Linked DNA regions of Schizosaccharomyces pombe. The gene in region 3 interacts genetically with the main gene of each other region. Each region holds a gene or a part of one and is shown on either strand. Other genes may lie near its edges. The genes, in order: ppa1, ptc1, wis1 and ptc4.

What was found.
Region 1: of wis1 (region 3) and ppa1, changing one suppresses a phenotype caused by changing the other (phenotypic suppression), as found in Schizosaccharomyces pombe (one study listed by BioGRID).
Region 2: of wis1 (region 3) and ptc1, a mutation in one rescues a mutant of the other (synthetic rescue), as found in Schizosaccharomyces pombe (one study listed by BioGRID).
Region 4: of wis1 (region 3) and ptc4, changing one enhances a phenotype caused by changing the other (phenotypic enhancement), as found in Schizosaccharomyces pombe (one study listed by BioGRID).

What each region holds. Positions count from the first base shown.
Region 1 is NC_003424.3:2,605,762-2,609,860, reverse strand, and holds ppa1 (serine/threonine protein phosphatase PP2A catalytic subunit Ppa1), read right to left. Parts: upstream 2,066-4,099; 5' UTR 1,903-2,065; exon of another isoform or gene 1,845-1,902; intron 1,773-1,844; 5' UTR 1,759-1,772; coding exon 829-1,758; 3' UTR 501-828; downstream 1-500. Other genes in the region: phosphatidylinositol-3,5-bisphosphate binding protein Atg1802, read left to right, coding at 1-339, 380-392; ptf1 (phosphoric monoester hydrolase), read right to left, coding at 2,672-3,206, 3,248-3,320, 3,544-3,582, 3,634-3,676.
Region 2 is NC_003421.2:2,002,512-2,007,007, reverse strand, and holds ptc1 (serine/threonine protein phosphatase PP2C catalytic subunit Ptc1), read right to left. Parts: upstream 2,473-4,496; 5' UTR 2,330-2,472; coding exon 1,286-2,329; 3' UTR 616-1,285; downstream 1-615. Other genes in the region: SPOM_SPCC4F11.03C (uncharacterized protein), read left to right, coding at 1-276; GATA-type transcription factor Ams2, read right to left, coding at 3,526-4,496. UniProt on the Schizosaccharomyces pombe protein: Serine and threonine phosphatase. Has a specialized role in the heat shock response. May be responsible for the dephosphorylation of hsp90.
Region 3 is NC_003423.3:1,143,231-1,148,410, reverse strand, and holds wis1 (MAP kinase kinase Wis1), read left to right. Parts: upstream 1-1,807; 5' UTR 1,808-2,626; coding exon 2,627-4,444; 3' UTR 4,445-4,680; downstream 4,681-5,180. Other genes in the region: ubiquitin hydrolase Uch2, read right to left, coding at 5,138-5,180. UniProt on the Schizosaccharomyces pombe protein: Dosage-dependent regulator of mitosis with serine/ threonine protein kinase activity. May play a role in the integration of nutritional sensing with the control over entry into mitosis. It may interact with cdc25, wee1 and win1. May activate sty1.
Region 4 is NC_003424.3:2,540,131-2,544,414, forward strand, and holds ptc4 (mitochondrial serine/threonine protein phosphatase PP2C catalytic subunit Ptc4), read right to left. Parts: upstream 2,526-4,284; 5' UTR 2,309-2,525; coding exon 1,157-2,308; 3' UTR 615-1,156; downstream 1-614. Other genes in the region: SPOM_SPAC4A8.02C (uncharacterized protein), read right to left, coding at 117-512, 563-595. UniProt on the Schizosaccharomyces pombe protein: Has a role in the regulation of vacuole fusion.

The DNA.
Region 1 (4,099 bases), on a different chromosome or scaffold from region 3:
ATTTCACCCAGTTGAGCCTTTTCTGGCTTGTGCTTCTGAAAATGGTACTATTCACGTTTTCAAAATCTCTAAGCAACCATCGGATCCGAATTCGTCTCCTACATCTTCCGTAACTGTGTCATCTTCTTGGTCAAAATATTTAACTTCAAATGTAGCAAAAGTTTGGGACACTAGGAAAGAATTTGCAACTGCTAAGATTCCTGAAGCTTCTTTCTATGGAAAAATAATTTTTTCGAGCAGCGGTCCGCACATACAAGTAGCTTCTTATTCAGGACACTATTATCGGTTCGCAGTAAATCTTAAAAATGGAGGAAATTGTGCTTTACTTGAGCGTTACATGTAAGCTGTTTGTTAAATTTTCGATTATTAACATATCTAGCTTTGACGATTAACTTTTTGCGCACAAGTTTTAAATTTACTCATACATCAGCTTCACAATGTTTTAGCTTTCATGGTCTTATGTTTTTTTTTTATTTACTGAACATGCTATCATTTATGTTTAGACCTTTGTAGATAATTTATTAAAATGTTAATGTCGATAAGTTGGTGTTTCACTAATATATTATACACCGGTACAGATGTGAAAAATTATCATTACGGTAGACACCTTACAAGTGCATCATATATCCTATATAAATTTTATATGCATTCCATAAATTCAATATTTGTACCGAAACAGGAGAATTAAAAATTCGAAGATAACAACATTCTATTAGAAACCCATAAAATTAAAGTAAATTTTTAGCGGCACGTTGACAACGCTAAAATCCAACCATGAAAAATTCCAGCTATTAACAAGTCCAAGAAGAAAGTAAAACATACGATGACTTATAAGAAGTAATCGGGTGTTCTTCTGGTGACATGTAATTCCTCCTTTCGGGGAGCAGTATCATATTGGATAAATGCGTAATTTATGTGGTCATCAATTCCCATAATGGCTGCTTGGTTTCCACATCGATAACAATAATTGGGAGCAGAAAAAATAGTAACAACATTATGGTTTGTAGTCCAATTATAACCTTCCATAACTAGCTGATGAGCTCTTGCTATTAAATCTAAACCGTTATTATGGTTAAATGCTTCAGCAATATCCGGGCCAAACGTATACCCAGCACCTCGAGGAGAAATACCCCAACCAGGTCGGTCATCAGGATCTGACCATAACAAGTCGCATATCGGACCTTCATGAGGAACCTCTTGCACACGATCTAATATACGAACATGGTCAAGTGTATCAATACTAGGAGAAAGACCTCCGTGAAGGCAAAAAATTCGATCTTCAATTAGGGCGGTGAGAGGCAAATAGTCAAAAAGATCTGTAAAGTACTGCCAAACATTCGCATTTCCATACTTTCTAAGGCATTCATCATAAAATCCATAAACTTGTGTAATTTGCCTAGATTCATGGTTTCCACGTAATATTGTTATACGCTGGGGATATCGAATTTTAAAAGCAATCAGTAGAGAAACTGTTTCTACACTGTGATATCCTCTGTCAACATAATCTCCCATAAACAAATAATTTGTATCAGGTGAAGGGCCGCCAATATTGAACAACTCCATTAAGTCATGGAATTGTCCATGAATATCACCACAAACCGTTACAGGGCATCGGACGCTTTGAACGTTTGATTCTACAGAAAGTACCTCTTTTGCGAGATCACACATTTGAATGACATCTTCCTCTGAAAGAGGTTCGCATCGACTCAACTGTTCAATCCAACGATCGACCTCTCCAATTTTTCCAGAGACAGACATCTTGTTGAAAAAAACTTAAAGCAATAGTTAATAAACGACTAAATTTTTAATTAAAAAGAAAAGCATCCACAGAAAAATCCATAAGGGCTTTTCCGTTTGTATGCTATCCTGCGTTGAGCATGCGTTTTTCAACTTCCCACTTACGAATTCACTGGATGACGGGGGTATTGTAAGCTTATTCACTTTCTTGACAAAATAATGGTGTCTGAGGTACGTTTACTGTACATATACTGTATTTTATTATTTATTCGTTCGTATGTGGGAAAGAGAAATATTATGTTTTACAGACACGGTGGGGAGTTAGGTGAAGAAAGAAAATGATGCGAGTACGGGAAAATTTGTATGAAGGTTGAAAGGTATGGTAGTAGACAGGATACATAAAGTCACAATATTTCATGTTTTAAATTTTATTTCAATTTATTAATAACCAAAATATTACAGACATGGATTTCGTAATAGCAATTTTTTCTGCAAGCCCCTTAAAACATCATTACAAGTTTCCTGACTTTGAGTAACTTTACCAAACCAAAATATAACAATATGCGTGATCTACATTATGTTATACTCGCTACCTTATTTCGGCGATCTCACGACCAAAAGACGCAAAATTTAATATCTCTTTATTTTCTTTCTTAAAAAAAATAAAGAGATATTGTAGCAATGCGACCACTTACGGACTGATATGATATAGGATTTTTCATACAAGACTCGCAAATGGATGAGTATATAAATACAAATTATGTTAAATCATTGCTTCTAACAACCCAAACTAATCGAACCGTTGGTGAATGATGCATTTAAATTGCTATGAGGACCTGCTTGAAACTAAGTTTCGAGGCGCTGATAACAAATATCTATCAACTTTAGGTATAAAAATGTTGAAGTACGAAAACTTCTTAGGTATTATTCAGATTTAACTGCTAAAGAATAATTTTTGCAAATCTTTATGGATATCAGCAAAGGTTTCGAATTCAGAGAAAGAAATTTTCTCCCTTTCACAATATTTAATTAAATCACGTCCTTTCTTGGCAAACAAGTGTTCTGTTTCCTTCGCAGCACTCAAATCGGAAACACCATCTCCGCAATAGACCATGTGAGGACGTTTACTTTCTGGCAATTGAGCATACGGACGGATAGTAAGGCTTTTGTCGTGTCCAAAATGACTGTCATCATGATACACAATGTTCCATTGACCATCAGGATGCACATTGATGTCATTAGAAACAATTTCAATACTACTTGCTTCTTCTTTGCCAAGGTATTGCTCAAAAAGTGCACGAATAAAAGGCTCCATACCACTTGAAAGGATGATTACACGAATGTCTTGAGACTTACACCATTCATAGAATGGTTTAAATGATGGATCAATGGCGACATTCTTCTTGAGAACCTCCAAAGCTTCATCATAGCTTAAATGCACTGAATCCAACATCTTCGCGAAAGCATCACTATGAATTGTTAAGAGTTGATTTACGCGTCAAACGCTTACCGAAAAGAAATGGAACCGTCAAGAACTTGTTGATTTAGATTCACACGGTTGGCGTTGCCCATTCCAAAGTTGTCTAAAACATAGTTAGTAAACCGTCGCCGTCGAGTGTTGCAGTAATAAAGCATTCAAGGTGGGCAGGGAAATTTTTGACCCAATGTTATAAAATCATAGATTTCTCTTACAGATTTTCGTAAATCTTCAATAAATATTCAGTTAAGCTTAATTGTAAGAACATTTTCTAACTACCTTTATACATCTTTTTATATCTGTAACAATCTTCCTATTCCCAACCTTACCAGTTAAGTAGTCATTGGAATCCTGGAGTGTAATAGTTCCTAGACCCCAAAAGTTAGTTGTCTGTTTTTATTGAAATTATTTTTTCATACCGTCAAAGTCACTGAATACGTATAACTGCTTTTTCTGAGCCATAGTCCAAATCTTTTTGAATTGCTGAAATTGCTTGCTTTGTACAGCTATCCAACTCTAGGATTTAAAGTAACGAAACTTACCAGCACTGATATAAAGTTTGTTGTTTATTCCGTGATTAGCAAGCAGTCGTTTGTTCGAGTCATGATAAATGTCATATTTTATCTTTTATATGCAAAAAAATGAAATTCTTAAAGTAATTTACAGTCTTCTTTATTTTAAAGGGCTGCAGATTAAAAATCGAAATTAGTGTAGAGGTTGAATTAACTTAAAGCATATATTTATCAAAGAAAAGAAATGATATTCTATATTTCTGCAAGGGGTAAACGATATCCTCAGTACGTTTTACCATAAATCCTAAGAAAAGTGGCCCAAGCCTTGTAAAGTGAAGTGTAATTTTTTTTTTTTTTGTTTTTTCTTTTTAAA
Region 2 (4,496 bases), on a different chromosome or scaffold from region 3:
AATTCAGCTCTTTCCCGTAATTTGGATTTGTTTGGCTCCCCATCTTCTGAAAATAAAAGTACTGCAGGATCGGCTTCTTTGTTTCCTAACCAGCAAATGGGAATTGACTTGCAAGCACAAGAAAACTACAGTGCTGCGTTCGGTAATGATGGCAGCTTTGCTTCGCATTTAACTAATACGTTTGACAACGCTCTAAATCTTCCTACAGACATTCCAACCACTGAAAGCATAAATGACTTGTTTGGTGAGAACTTTGACTTCACCATGACAAAATGAGTTGAGTTGACTTCAGTTCAGCTATGTATGATCGGTTTAACGTGGTTGTTTCAATTTGTCAATGTTTTTTTCATGTATTATTATCTATTACTATAGTCATTCATTTCCAGATCATTCAACAAAAAACCTATAAACGGTAATTATAAAAAACAATTGCATGTCTTTATCCGGTGAGTATCATTTGATTGTATTGCTCTGCACCTTTATGTATGAAAACTAGAGTTGAGACAGTAAGTAGAAAAGCGTTGTCTTTTTCCTATGTTTAGGCCAATGCTAAAATCTCGAATACTTGGTACAATTAGTGTATGTATATATATTTTTACGTGCAAATGGTATTTTAGCAGGAACGGGACAAAATAAAGACAACCCGTAACTTCAGAATAATAATTATAATTCGACTTTTAAATCGAAAATTAAAGACGATAAAAGGGTAAAATAAATTTTTTTTGGTGAACGTATAGCCTTTGTTATAAACACCAATGCATGCACGCAAGTACATTCATAATATTTGCGAAGCAATTGTAAATAAAAATACCGAAAACACTCACGAAGAACCTTAAAAAGAGTGAAATGTTTGTACCTTTAAATGGGTATGAAGAGGGCTAATGATGAATATACGATTGATTCGAACAGTGGCACGCAGATTGGAGGAAAAGGTAGCAAATCATGAAAAAAGAAAAAAGAAACTAGATTTGGACAGATTTAGGATCGATATTTAGACACATTACTTTTAGACAAAAAAGAAGAACAAGAGAAACATGCACAAAGTGGTTTATAAAAAGAAGAGTAATTAATTAGAAAAAATAAGTCGACCCAAAGGAAAACCATGTCCAAATGAGAATACAAGGTCCATAAATAAAGGAAAAGAATCGATGCAATTACAGTGCTTGGTAAACAAAAAAATAGGATTAAGTCATTCCGGCTTCCAAACAAGTACTGTGGATGAGGTAAAGACATCGAAAAACCGTTACGAAACAACAGAAAGCACATCATTGAATCCATCAAATACCTAATAATAGTCATTACTGTATGAATCATTATCAGCGGTAAGTCCTGAATCATCGAGATCACCGGGATTGCGAGTCAAGTTAACTACAATACAAGTGATATTGTCTGTACTAAGACGTTTTAATGCAAATTCTACCAGGCGAACAGCGGCTTCGCGAGGGCTTACGAAATTGCGAACAAAGTCGACAGCTTCCTGATCCGATACTACATCCCACAAGCCATCACAAGCGATAATGAAGAACTCATCATGACCGTTCCAGATTCGGGTTTCAGTGGTGAAGGGATGCGCACTGACCAATTCCTTAAGATAGGTATCACCTAAGGCCCTTGTGACAGCAAGAACGCCATTAATTCGGTTTTGTACCATGAGACCACCCAACTGGGTCACACGACGAGACTCATTGGCATCGGATCCCTTGTGATCGTAAGAAAGTCGAATAGCCTTACCATCACGGCATAATACGATACGTGCATCACCTGCATTAGCTGTGTAGAGAACACGGCGGGTGCGGTTTTTCTCATATCTAAAGAAAGCAACTGCAGCGGTACAACCGCAAATGTCATTGTGAGTAGCCTTTGCAATTTTGCTGTTGACCTCGACAAATGTTTCGTCCATTAGGTCTGTGACCAGCCGGTCCGGCTCATTCCTAACCTTTTCCAAAAGTACCTTGTGAAGATTCTTCTGACAGTAGTCAGATGCTTGAATGCCAGCATGTCCGTCATAAACGGCAACGAAGCCGTCGTCCTGATTACCCCCAAAATCATACAAGCAAATATGAGTATCCTCCATAGACCTACGCCATCTTTGGTTTTTATCCTCCATCAGTCCAGCAAGCCAGTTAGAGGCTTTACTAGGGCGCGAGTTACCAACTGGGACTGTGTTGCCTTTACTATCCTTCATCTCAATTGCAATCGGTCGAGTTTCTCCATCCGCCGAATGATCACTAGCGTTTTTTCGATGTCCACTTGTAGAATTTTCAGAAAATGGGTTCAACTTGTGAAGTGGTTCCAACAGGGAACCTGCATTTGGATGGCTTCCCTTCATATTCGTTCAAACACTTCAGTACCGACAAAAAAATTGCTTTTCAAATTAACTAAATACCTTCAATTATAATATCAGGTATAAAATTGCTGATTGTATAGTATATACGAGAAACACCGATTTTCCTTGGGTTTCTGCGTAAGTATAAACTTGTTAAGTCAGTCAGTGCTAATAAACTCGGGCATTTACGTCACGCGTGGTATACCGAGATCTTCGGAAATCATTTTTACGTACTAGGTTAACTTCCACTAAACCGTTATCCGCTCTGCATTGAACTACATTATAATACAAAAATGCTAACAAAAGGCTATTAGAAAATTAGAAATAGTAAGCAGCAATAAGCTGTTGTTTTGAATATATGAACTAAACGTTTGATTTATTCTAGACAAAAATATTGAACCATGTATTGAAATCCTTCGACTTTTACACTTGCTTTCGCGTGACTTTGGTTCGCATTACTGAAAAAAATTTGTCATGTGTTCGTCTAGTGAATTTGCTAAATATCAATTATCCGGTCTACCCATAATAATCAATTAGAAACGTTTCGCAACATAAACATGCTAACAAGAATAACAGTGTTCATATAAATAATTAAAAGTAACTTTTTCCGTATGTAAAATAAGGATGTGGCTTTGTCCATATCGGCTTTCATAATACAATTAATGAAATTATAATTTGTTTGTATAAGCAAAACAGACAGAACTATCACGAAGTATCCAAAATTTCCATAAACCGAGCCTCAAAGATGAAGTCGAAGAACATTTGAGAAGATTAAAAGAAATAGTGTCCAACTTCTATTTTGCGACAAGATTTATAGAATGCTTGTCGCATGCTCTTGGCTATGCCGCCAACAATAAGCAACGACTTGAAATATTTTAATAATCAAGGGGGAGGTAATAACGGCTCATGGTATGAAAGAAAATAAAATAAATTGCTTTAGAAATAAAAAGAACGAAGGACGGATTTGAGGGGACATGCCTTGGGAGTTCTTACGCAGTAAGGACTTTAACAGCAACAATCATTTTTTTGCGGTTAAGAAAACGAATTAAGGATGTCATTATCAAAATAAAAATCATAAAAAAGCAAGAAGACTCGAATAATGAAAGATGTCAATTTTGATCACACATGACTTCTTGATAAAACAAAAAATTAAAGAACAAGGGTAATGTGTGAAGCAAAGGTACGCCTTTATCGCTCTTTCAACAAGTGTTTTCAACGGATAAATGCCTGTCAGCAGGGACCATGGGCGGACTACTTGGCATCACCAAATCTGTCATCAGAGGAATATCGCGTCTTTCTTCATTATCGAGTTGAGAATTCAACCCCAATTCTAAAGAAAAATCATATCTTTCTGGTAATTGAGGTGAATTCTCAATGTTATTGGATTTTGCAACCGAAGACAATGCCTTTGATAAATCAAACTTTGGCTTATGCCTTGGTGTCAATACGTTTTGGTCAGGGTCAGACAAAAATAACTCTGACCTCCAGGGTGATGGACTTTGTTGTTGCTTTTGTAAGGTAGTTGGTTTTGGAGGGGTTCTGAAATAGCACTCTAAATCATCATTTTCTTTTTCTGAATCGCAAACAGGCAGAGTTGGCTCTGTCTCTTCTTTATTTACTTTAGGCATAGGCTTTGTTGTGGTTTTCAAAGGAAAAGCGACGTTTTCCTTGTCAGTACACATGAAATCAGTTTTTCTTAAAACATCATTTTGTATATTGGCACTTAGTGAATTTGGTAATACCAGCCAACTATCATTAGACCCAATTTCGGATAAAGGCTCACGAAATGATGTATCAGGAGTAGGTGCAACAATGGGAGATGATTGTATGCGTCTGAGGTCATTTTTCAGCTTAGCAGTACGGGGACCTCCTCTGGATTTCTGCTGATTAACAACAGAGGGTTTTGAGATATGATTGGGATCAGGTGCAGAGTGTGTTGAGTCTAAAGACGTAAGTCTATTCAGAGGAGAGTGCCGTCCTGCATTTTCAAGCTCACGGAAGATGGATATAGATAGTTTTCGTTGCTGGGAAAGTTTATATACGGCTAACTCAAGCTGAGCAAATGCATCATTTTCCAACGGTTTCTCTGTTTCAAATGCTTTATAGGTAGACCATAAATTTCTTGGACGCATCGAGCGCCGACTCGTCCAATATATACCACATGCATTAC
Region 3 (5,180 bases):
GCGCTACCCTTTTATTCATTCTAACTATCAAAGAATTCCTTTTTCCTTTCCCCAAAAAACAACTACCATTCGTATGTACAGTCGTCTTAGTCTACTATTGTATGGTATGTGGCATACGCAGCCGTGGGTGCCAGCCAGCAACCATACCAAGTCAAAAATTTCTCTTATAGCAAATCAATTCTTCATTCAATTCAAATAATGTAAAAAAAAACGCATCTATAGAAACATACGATGAAACTTTTTAAATACAAACTAATAATGAAAATACTCGCAGACTAACAATGAAAATACTCCAAAATCTAATAAAGAATTAGCAATTTGGCATTTCATGAAACCGTAAAGCGTCAAACGAAATGAAATCTAATAAAATTAATAAAATTAAAATAAAATGCCTTCTTCTTCTTCTCAGTTTCATCGTATGATTTTCTCTTTTAATTTCTTCATTTTATTCCACTTTCCTTCTCTTCTTTAGTTTTTCCTCATTTTTGGATGTTGGGAATACAGCCTCTTTCTATCTAGTTTCATCTTCAGCCTTTTTCACCACATGTTCAATCATTCGACTCTTTCTGTATTCTTCTATCTCAATTGAACATTATTGAGTCTGTTTTAATGAAAATTTTTTTTGTCTTCCCTTGATGTTGGCGCAAAACTAGACGTTCCAAATTTTTTCTCATTAATAAAGGATTATCCTCAAATCGTTTTTATAGCCCCCTTTCTACTTTGTTCGAGCATACACCGTACATTATGCATTTGCATATAGATGGAGTGATCTAGGAACTTTTGTAAATTTTTTTCTCTTTGCTTGTTTTTCCTTCCTACGAAAGTTCTACCCCTTCGTTGCACTTTTCACTTCAGTGTCTTTTTCCATAGAACAAAATGTTCCTAGCAGTTTTGCTGCTACTCTTACATTATTTTTGTGTGTTTCCTTAAACAAAAGAAATTTAAAAAAATTAGAAAAAAAAAAAAAATTTAAAAATAAATAAATTTTTTTTTACGCTGCTTCTAGAGCACAAATAACACACTCTCTTCATTCCACTTGCTGAACCTTTTAACGATTATTAAAAAATGTTTTATTATACATTACTACACCTTTTCGAAACACTTGTGCGTTAACTCGCTTTTTTTTATCGCTCTCAAGGACGGAAGCTACTAGGTTAGTTATATTTCTCTTATTTATTTGGTTATACATTTTACCTTGGATCATGATTTTTCTTAGTATACATTGACATTCGAATACCAGCTTTGAAACTTAAAGCCCTATGCACCTAATCATTAATTATTTTTGTTTTTATTTATTTATTCTTTATTCTTTTCTAATCAAACACTACCATATCTATCGGACAATTCAATTCCTTCTGTCAAGACCGATAAATCGTTGTGTTTATCTTCCATTAAAATATTTTTCGGCCCTTTTTTTTTCTGTTTTTCTTTACTTCTATGTATTATTCTCTATACGTTGAGCATTTTACCCAATCATCCTGTGCTTTCCCATTAATCCATCGAGGTATTTCTTACCAGCTATTTCTGCCGTACATTCTTTCCATTTGCATATAAATCTCAGGATACCTTGTTAGAAATCTTGTCGAATGATTCATACAGGTCGTTACGCTTATACGGAGATCTGCAGCATATTATTTGGCTTCACGTTATTTTGATTTTACAAATTTGATTGTATCCCTTAACCATCCCTTGTTTTGATGAAACATTTTTTTATCCACGTTATCCTTATATACTGATACGTAAGCTAACGTGCAAAAGTTTCTCCTTAAGATTAAGCAACGTGTTGTCTGACTTTCGTTATCCTTTTATCCTTCACCAACTCCATCCCATTCCACCTTCTTGTATACCCAAACATACCCCAGCCGGCTGGCGATAGCTGGGATTCCTAATCTCTCAAGCATTCCCTTTCGACGTGTATATCTTATTTACATCGTACCGACTACACTTCCTATTTTATCACCCTCCCTAAATTTTCCCATTTCCTTTAAAGAGCAGAATTTTTTTTGCTCTTTACTGTAAGAGAAAAGCGTTTCTGAATTTTTTCTCTTCCTTCCACACCCTTACGTGTTATCTTTTAGAAAGATAATTTCAAATTTCTTTCCTTTTTATTTCGTGTTTGTGAATTATTACTTTTTCTCCTTACCTTTGCCTCCTTACTCGTCGGTCATAACTCGGTTTTAAAGTATTGACTTCTCGGACTAAGATTAACCCACACCTTTTTACTTTTTTTTCTTTAGTTCTCCTTGGGAAATTTATTATCTAAGCCCCTGTTTCTTCCAGTTTCTGGCTTTTGCTGTTAAATTTAAACCCTTCCAAACCTCCTTTTTTTCCGTGGCATTTACCTACACAAAGCTACTCGTAGGTGATTGCCTTTAAACTTCCTTTTTTTTTCTTGGAATATCCTTCCTGCGGACTTTTTAGACCACCGCTTTTTTTTTCCTTCTTCGTCGGAGACGACTCGTAATTGATTGTCTAATTTTAATTGTTCTTTTCACCCAAGATACCTTTTTTGTATTGCCATCTCACTTTCGTTCATCTTCACTTTTGCTTCATTTATATTACCGGAATTTAGTTTACCTAATTTTTTTTTCTTTTTTTTTAAGTTTGTGAAGCACATTTATTTTATATGTCTTCTCCAAATAATCAACCCTTGTCTTGCTCATTGAGACAGCTGTCTATTTCTCCTACCGCACCTCCCGGTGATGTTGGTACTCCCGGCTCGCTCCTTTCTCTTTCGTCTTCAAGTTCTTCAAACACCGATTCTTCTGGTTCTTCCTTGGGTTCCTTGTCTTTAAATTCTAACAGTAGTGGCAGTGACAATGACTCAAAGGTTTCTTCTCCTAGTCGTGAAATACCTTCCGATCCCCCTCTTCCCCGTGCCGTGCCTACGGTCAGACTTGGCAGATCTACGTCCAGTCGGAGTCGTAACTCTCTTAACCTTGACATGAAGGATCCTTCGGAAAAACCTAGACGTTCACTTCCTACAGCAGCTGGTCAGAACAATATTGGATCTCCTCCTACTCCACCGGGCCCATTTCCTGGAGGACTTTCAACTGATATACAGGAGAAATTGAAGGCCTTCCATGCATCTAGATCAAAATCAATGCCGGAAGTAGTCAACAAGATCAGTAGTCCAACTACCCCTATTGTCGGTATGGGTCAACGAGGAAGTTATCCTTTGCCTAACTCTCAACTTGCTGGTCGATTAAGTAATTCGCCCGTAAAGTCTCCGAATATGCCAGAGTCCGGGCTTGCAAAATCACTTGCTGCTGCTAGGAATCCTTTACTCAACCGTCCAACGTCCTTCAATCGACAAACGAGAATCCGTCGTGCACCACCTGGAAAACTCGATTTATCCAATTCCAATCCCACCAGCCCTGTCAGTCCGTCTAGCATGGCTTCTCGCCGTGGCCTAAACATTCCTCCCACCCTTAAACAGGCTGTTTCGGAAACCCCTTTTTCCACATTTTCGGATATTTTGGATGCAAAATCAGGCACCTTAAATTTTAAAAACAAAGCCGTGTTAAATTCAGAAGGTGTTAACTTTTCATCTGGCTCTTCGTTTCGTATTAATATGTCAGAGATTATTAAGCTTGAAGAACTTGGAAAAGGTAACTATGGTGTTGTGTATAAAGCATTGCATCAACCGACTGGTGTCACTATGGCCTTGAAGGAAATTAGGTTGTCCTTAGAAGAAGCAACATTTAATCAAATTATAATGGAATTGGATATTTTACATAAAGCAGTTAGTCCTTATATCGTTGACTTTTATGGTGCCTTTTTTGTGGAAGGTTCTGTTTTTATTTGTATGGAATATATGGATGCTGGTAGCATGGACAAACTGTATGCTGGTGGTATCAAAGACGAAGGAGTTTTAGCTAGAACTGCTTATGCTGTAGTGCAAGGCCTCAAAACTTTGAAAGAGGAGCATAATATCATTCATCGTGACGTTAAACCTACTAATGTTTTGGTAAATTCTAATGGCCAGGTTAAGTTATGTGACTTTGGCGTGAGTGGGAATCTTGTGGCTTCTATATCCAAAACGAACATTGGATGTCAATCTTACATGGCTCCTGAAAGAATTCGTGTTGGTGGACCTACCAATGGCGTCTTGACTTACACCGTACAGGCTGATGTGTGGTCTCTAGGCCTTACCATTTTAGAAATGGCTTTAGGAGCTTATCCGTATCCACCTGAATCATATACTTCAATATTTGCACAACTATCGGCGATTTGCGATGGCGATCCACCTTCTCTCCCCGATTCATTTTCTCCCGAAGCTCGTGATTTTGTAAACAAGTGTTTGAATAAAAACCCGTCTTTGCGTCCCGATTATCATGAGTTGGCTAACCATCCATGGTTGTTAAAATATCAAAATGCAGATGTGGACATGGCTTCATGGGCAAAAGGCGCTCTTAAAGAGAAAGGTGAAAAAAGAAGCTAAAGGTTCGCCTGCTTTCTAATTGCCTGCTCTGTTTTAAAGTACCCATGCGCATTGGTGTTTGTCTTTAATTTCGAATGCATGACTATTACGTGATCCATAATTATGTTTCAGCAGAACCGACGCTATTTTGCATTTGTGCTTTTTCATAAATTTAATAATTTGGGTATGATTCCGTATAACGGTAGTTGATGTTTGCATTTTTGCTTTAAATTAAAACGGGTATTTAATGTGTTATTACATTTGTTTAAGGCATTTACGTCCACCATAAAAAACTTTTTTTTTATTTAACTAAGGGGCTTTAGAAGTGCAAACGAAAGTTTGCAATTGTAAAAGTTACTTGTACTGTATTAATTTATTTCTTTTAAAACTTCGTTGACTGGCTCCGTCGTTTTAGCTACTATGATCTCCTGTTTCCTACAATGGTGATTACTTAGAGAGATTGAATCCATCGTAAATGCAAGTGTTAATAGATATTATATCGACCTAATAATAATTACTTAAACTATTAATATATTACTCAAAGAGATTTGAGGTATTCATTTATTTAAAAAGTACGAGACTTTTATATATCAAAGAAACAAATTCTCCCAACATAAGTCCAACAAGGTAATCTAGAGTCATAACAGATTTTTATCCTGGAAATGAAAATTCCTTCATAGTGGAATATTTTTTGAGAAAGAACGCCGTAATATATTACGGTCGCTTTTGAGATGCGTATTTCGCTTTTGCAGTTTCA
Region 4 (4,284 bases), on a different chromosome or scaffold from region 3:
CCAAAAAGAAAAAAAAAAGAGTCGTTACTAAAGAAATAGTATGCTTAAATAAGCCATACAATCGGTAGTCATTCACATCATTCCCAAGCACATACTAATAAAAACTTAAAGGTACTTCAATTGCTTCGTAAACCTATAATAGTACAAACAATTGTACGAGAATGAGGTTGGCGACGAAACTCAGCTAACTGAATGTCTTGCCAAGTACCCAAGCTCAACTTCCCATTAGTAATGGGAACAGTTAAACTAGGTCCAATTAAGCTAGATTTAACATGAGCAGGCATATCGTCTAATCCTTCTGCAGTATGACGGTAGCCTGCTGATTCAGGGACAATTTTATCCAATATATCGTTCATGTCAGCTCGCGTATCTGCGTCCCAATTCTCATTGATAGTAAGAGCAGCAGAGGTATGCTGTATAAAAAAATTTACTGTACCAGAAGAAAAGCTTTTTAATTCTGGAAGCTTTTTGACCAAATCGTTTGTAATTATGTAAAACCCTTTGGATCTTCTCTAAATTCAATTGAGTTAGTTCAGAAGAATAATCTTAAAAAAAAAGTTACATCTAAAGTTATAATGCGTTGAATAACATCCATGTTTCAGAACGATTATTGAAGAGGATAGATGTAATACTTTAGCACAAAGTTGTAAAATACTCAACTCTACTAGGTAACATGCTATTTAGAGGATAGTGTGAATAGGCTTGATACACTATATGAATTCATTAAGAGTGCAGAAATATAACATATACTAATGTGTTCGAATAATAGGTTAACCAAAGATAGACGAAGAGTGTCAAGCACTAATGATTCCAAAATGTTAAACAATCTAAATTGAGGAGAAAATAAAATAACCATATAATATTCAGAAATAGCTTCTGAACGCCCAAAAGTTTTCTGAATATAAAACAAATATACGGATATGTCATTCTTAAAAGCGTACTTAAGAAACCGCAAAAGTAATTAAATACTTGAATCAACATATTATAGGTTTAATCGATTATAAATGCATTAAAATGGGGACAAAATGAGAACAAAAATGAGAACATTGAAACATGCCAAAAACGTATGACATAAACAATATTAAGCATTATCTAAACGGATTAAAGAAAGAGAAATTCTTAAATTGAAGGCTTAGTTTTTATGAAGACTTGATGTTCAACTTCTTCTGGGATGATAAGCAGACTTTTCCAAACGTAAATTCTTTGTAAAGTCATTAATAGTGCGTTTTTTCCACCCTGGAAGACGAACAACAAGACAGGTGATATCGTCCACAGCACCAACGTTTTGAGCGTAACGAATGATATTATTCGCAGCATCTTGAGGGGACTCAGACAGTTTTATTATATCGACAACTTCATCATCCGATACGACATCTGTAATACCGTCCGAAAGAAGAGTTAAAAACGACCAGTCATCTCTTAGTGAATGAATAGAAGTCAATTGAGGTTCGGCAACAACACCTAATTTTTTGAGTTTATATCCGTCTCCAAAACTACGGGTGTTAGCGACCCAAGCGAATCTTTTCTGTCCAAATGAGTCTCTTGAAAAACCCATGTTGTAACGTCGTAGCCGACGTGCTTCCTCGACATCAGCTGGATGATGTTGGAATGTTAAACGATGGGCCCTTCCAGTCCGAGAATCACACAATAAAGCTCTTGTATCGCCGACATGAGCAAGGTGAATAATGTAACTATCGCTTTCCCAATATGAGAGATTATTTTTTGAAGTTATTATAGCCACGGTACCGACTGCGCCGGGTACAGCACTGTCAGGCGATGGCCGGGCATAGTTAGTTAAATAATCCATGTCCGCTTGTAAAAATGAATAATATAGCCTCGCCCTCCAAAGCAGATCTTCGTCCCTAGATTGAAGAACAGTGCGCAAAGAAAATGGAGGCTTTAGACCCGCCATGTATCCACCCACGGAATGGACTTCCTTCAGGATTTTCTCTGTATCATTTAAATCTTGATTTTCAATAATCTTCCCCAAGTTGGTGGAAAGAAACTCACTACACTCAGTACCTCCGTGACCGTCGAAAAGCCCGTAGAAAAAAGGACTATCTCTGTTAGTAGTATCTTTTAGGTTATTTAAGTAGCCGTAAGCCATACGGTCTTGATTTGTCGGCGAATCTCCTCTAGCGGTACATAATCCAAGACTCTGAGGTGCTTTGTTCATACTTATCTTCAGGTAGGGACCATTGGAGGGACTATAATACTGAATAAAGGATCGATAGAAATAGTTTTTTGAGCAATAGGCATTTTGAATATATAGAGGTGCCCGTAAACGTTTAAGAAAACGGATCGACATGTATTAATGGAGAAGGATTCTCAAACGTGAATCGCTTGAGATGGTAACTTCGCGGCGTGCAAAACAAACCGTGCAAGAAACCGGTAATTTCTAGTAAATTTTGCTAAAAAAAGATTAATGATCAAAGGATTAGAGGAAAGAAAGTTTTCTTTCCTACAGATATTGAAGCTTCCAGACGCTTTGCTTGAAAGCCGAGGTAAATTTCCAGTTTAAGGCTAACTCGAAATACCAAATAACAGGGGATTTTAAAAAGAGTTCAGCATACACCAACAAGGAGAAAGTCTTACACGATTCTATACAAGCGGTGTAAAGCATATAGTGTGTTAAAACGAACCCTGTAATACTATGCAAACAAATGCGTTAAAGCACGATAAAAGAAGTTAAGGAAGATATGTAATGAAAGGAAGGCTGTGAGCATTGTAGGGATAGTTCGTTTGATGAGCATGTCTTTATTTCATTTTCGTTAATATTTCAATTTTTTTTGGTTGGTTTGAGGGGGTGGATTCTACCAACCACTTTCATTTTTCCTATCCAAATATGTTTTTTACTTTTCTATCTTATTTTTTCACTATAGCACATTAGCACTCTAGATTATATTGCTTTGTTAGAGCAAAACAGATGGAGTATATAGCTTATCGACGACAATTCAATTCAATTCAATCCAACCATCAGAGAAATCTGACTATGTTACTCTTTAGTTTATTCCTAATAAGCGCTGCTTGAATAAAGTGATAAGTGCAACAGCTCCGATGATGGCAAGATATTTAGCGATTAGAGATTGTTTCGTTTCCAAAGTACCAAGTACTTATAACGAAATATATACAAAAGCTCCCAAATTCAAAATTGCTGGGTGTACGGCGCCACCAAAATACAGAACCGTCATTCATTTGTTCCAATATAACGCCATTGTTCTCTGTATTGTTTGCTAATTGTTTCAACTTGTTGAACTATTAGTGATGGTCTAGTCCAAACGACACCTGGAATGAGAGCGCATTGATGAAAGAGCTTCAACACAGCGCCCAATCTCTCTTACTGTGGGAATCTCAAACATTGTCAATGTTGTCACATGTTGTTTGTTCGTATACAAAGAAATGCAAATGCCATCCACGCATTCTGTTCATCATTAAAACTCTTTGATTAAATCCCTTGTACTGCATTAAATTTCATGGCTGCATAGAAGAAAAGTTACATAGGAAAGAGCCAGCGATTGCTACGAATACTCGCTCGATCTCACTCCACAGGCTGTTTCTTTAACAATTTATATAAGAATATACAAATAAGTAAAGTTTCATAGAAAAGAAGAAATGGATTTTATAGTGAAAATGGGGAATTTTAAAGTCCCTCATTGCTTCATCTAGCAACTCTTTCTTATATACAATAACCGAAATACGATGCATCGGTAATTAACTGTTTACGCACACACAATCTCTCAATCTTCTCTCCTCTAAAATAAATGTCTCCAACCAATTTGTTGATAAAGATAGAATGGCTGTTGTAATGTAGCAAACACTTATCAGGGGATGGATGGATGGATGGATGTTTTTCATCAAGCACTTGTTTACATGAGTGGGCGTTAGCTGAACACCGAGAGTCATGTTCATTCAATTGTGCTAGTGTTTTATAATTTATTTGTTTTCGTTTCAGTTTACTGTTTGTGTAGAATGAATACTAGTCATGAAAGGAAAGAATAAACCTTTCTGAAAATGAAATGACATTGAGTGCATATTGTTGAATATGGATATGCTGTTGCTTCCATACATTTGGAAATTTTGCAAACCTCTTTTTTTATGTATGTCCCGATCAATGTGTGTATCCGTGGATTACCAAGTTATCAGTGAATCGGCTTCCGTTCCTCCATATCTTTGAATTGCTCTTTTTTCTGCCCTAAGCAGCGCAATGCGCATGAAGCGTTATCATTCAATGTACCGAACAGAGTGGCAGTTGAGTGGCCCTTACCAATCCGGCCTTTCAAAGTT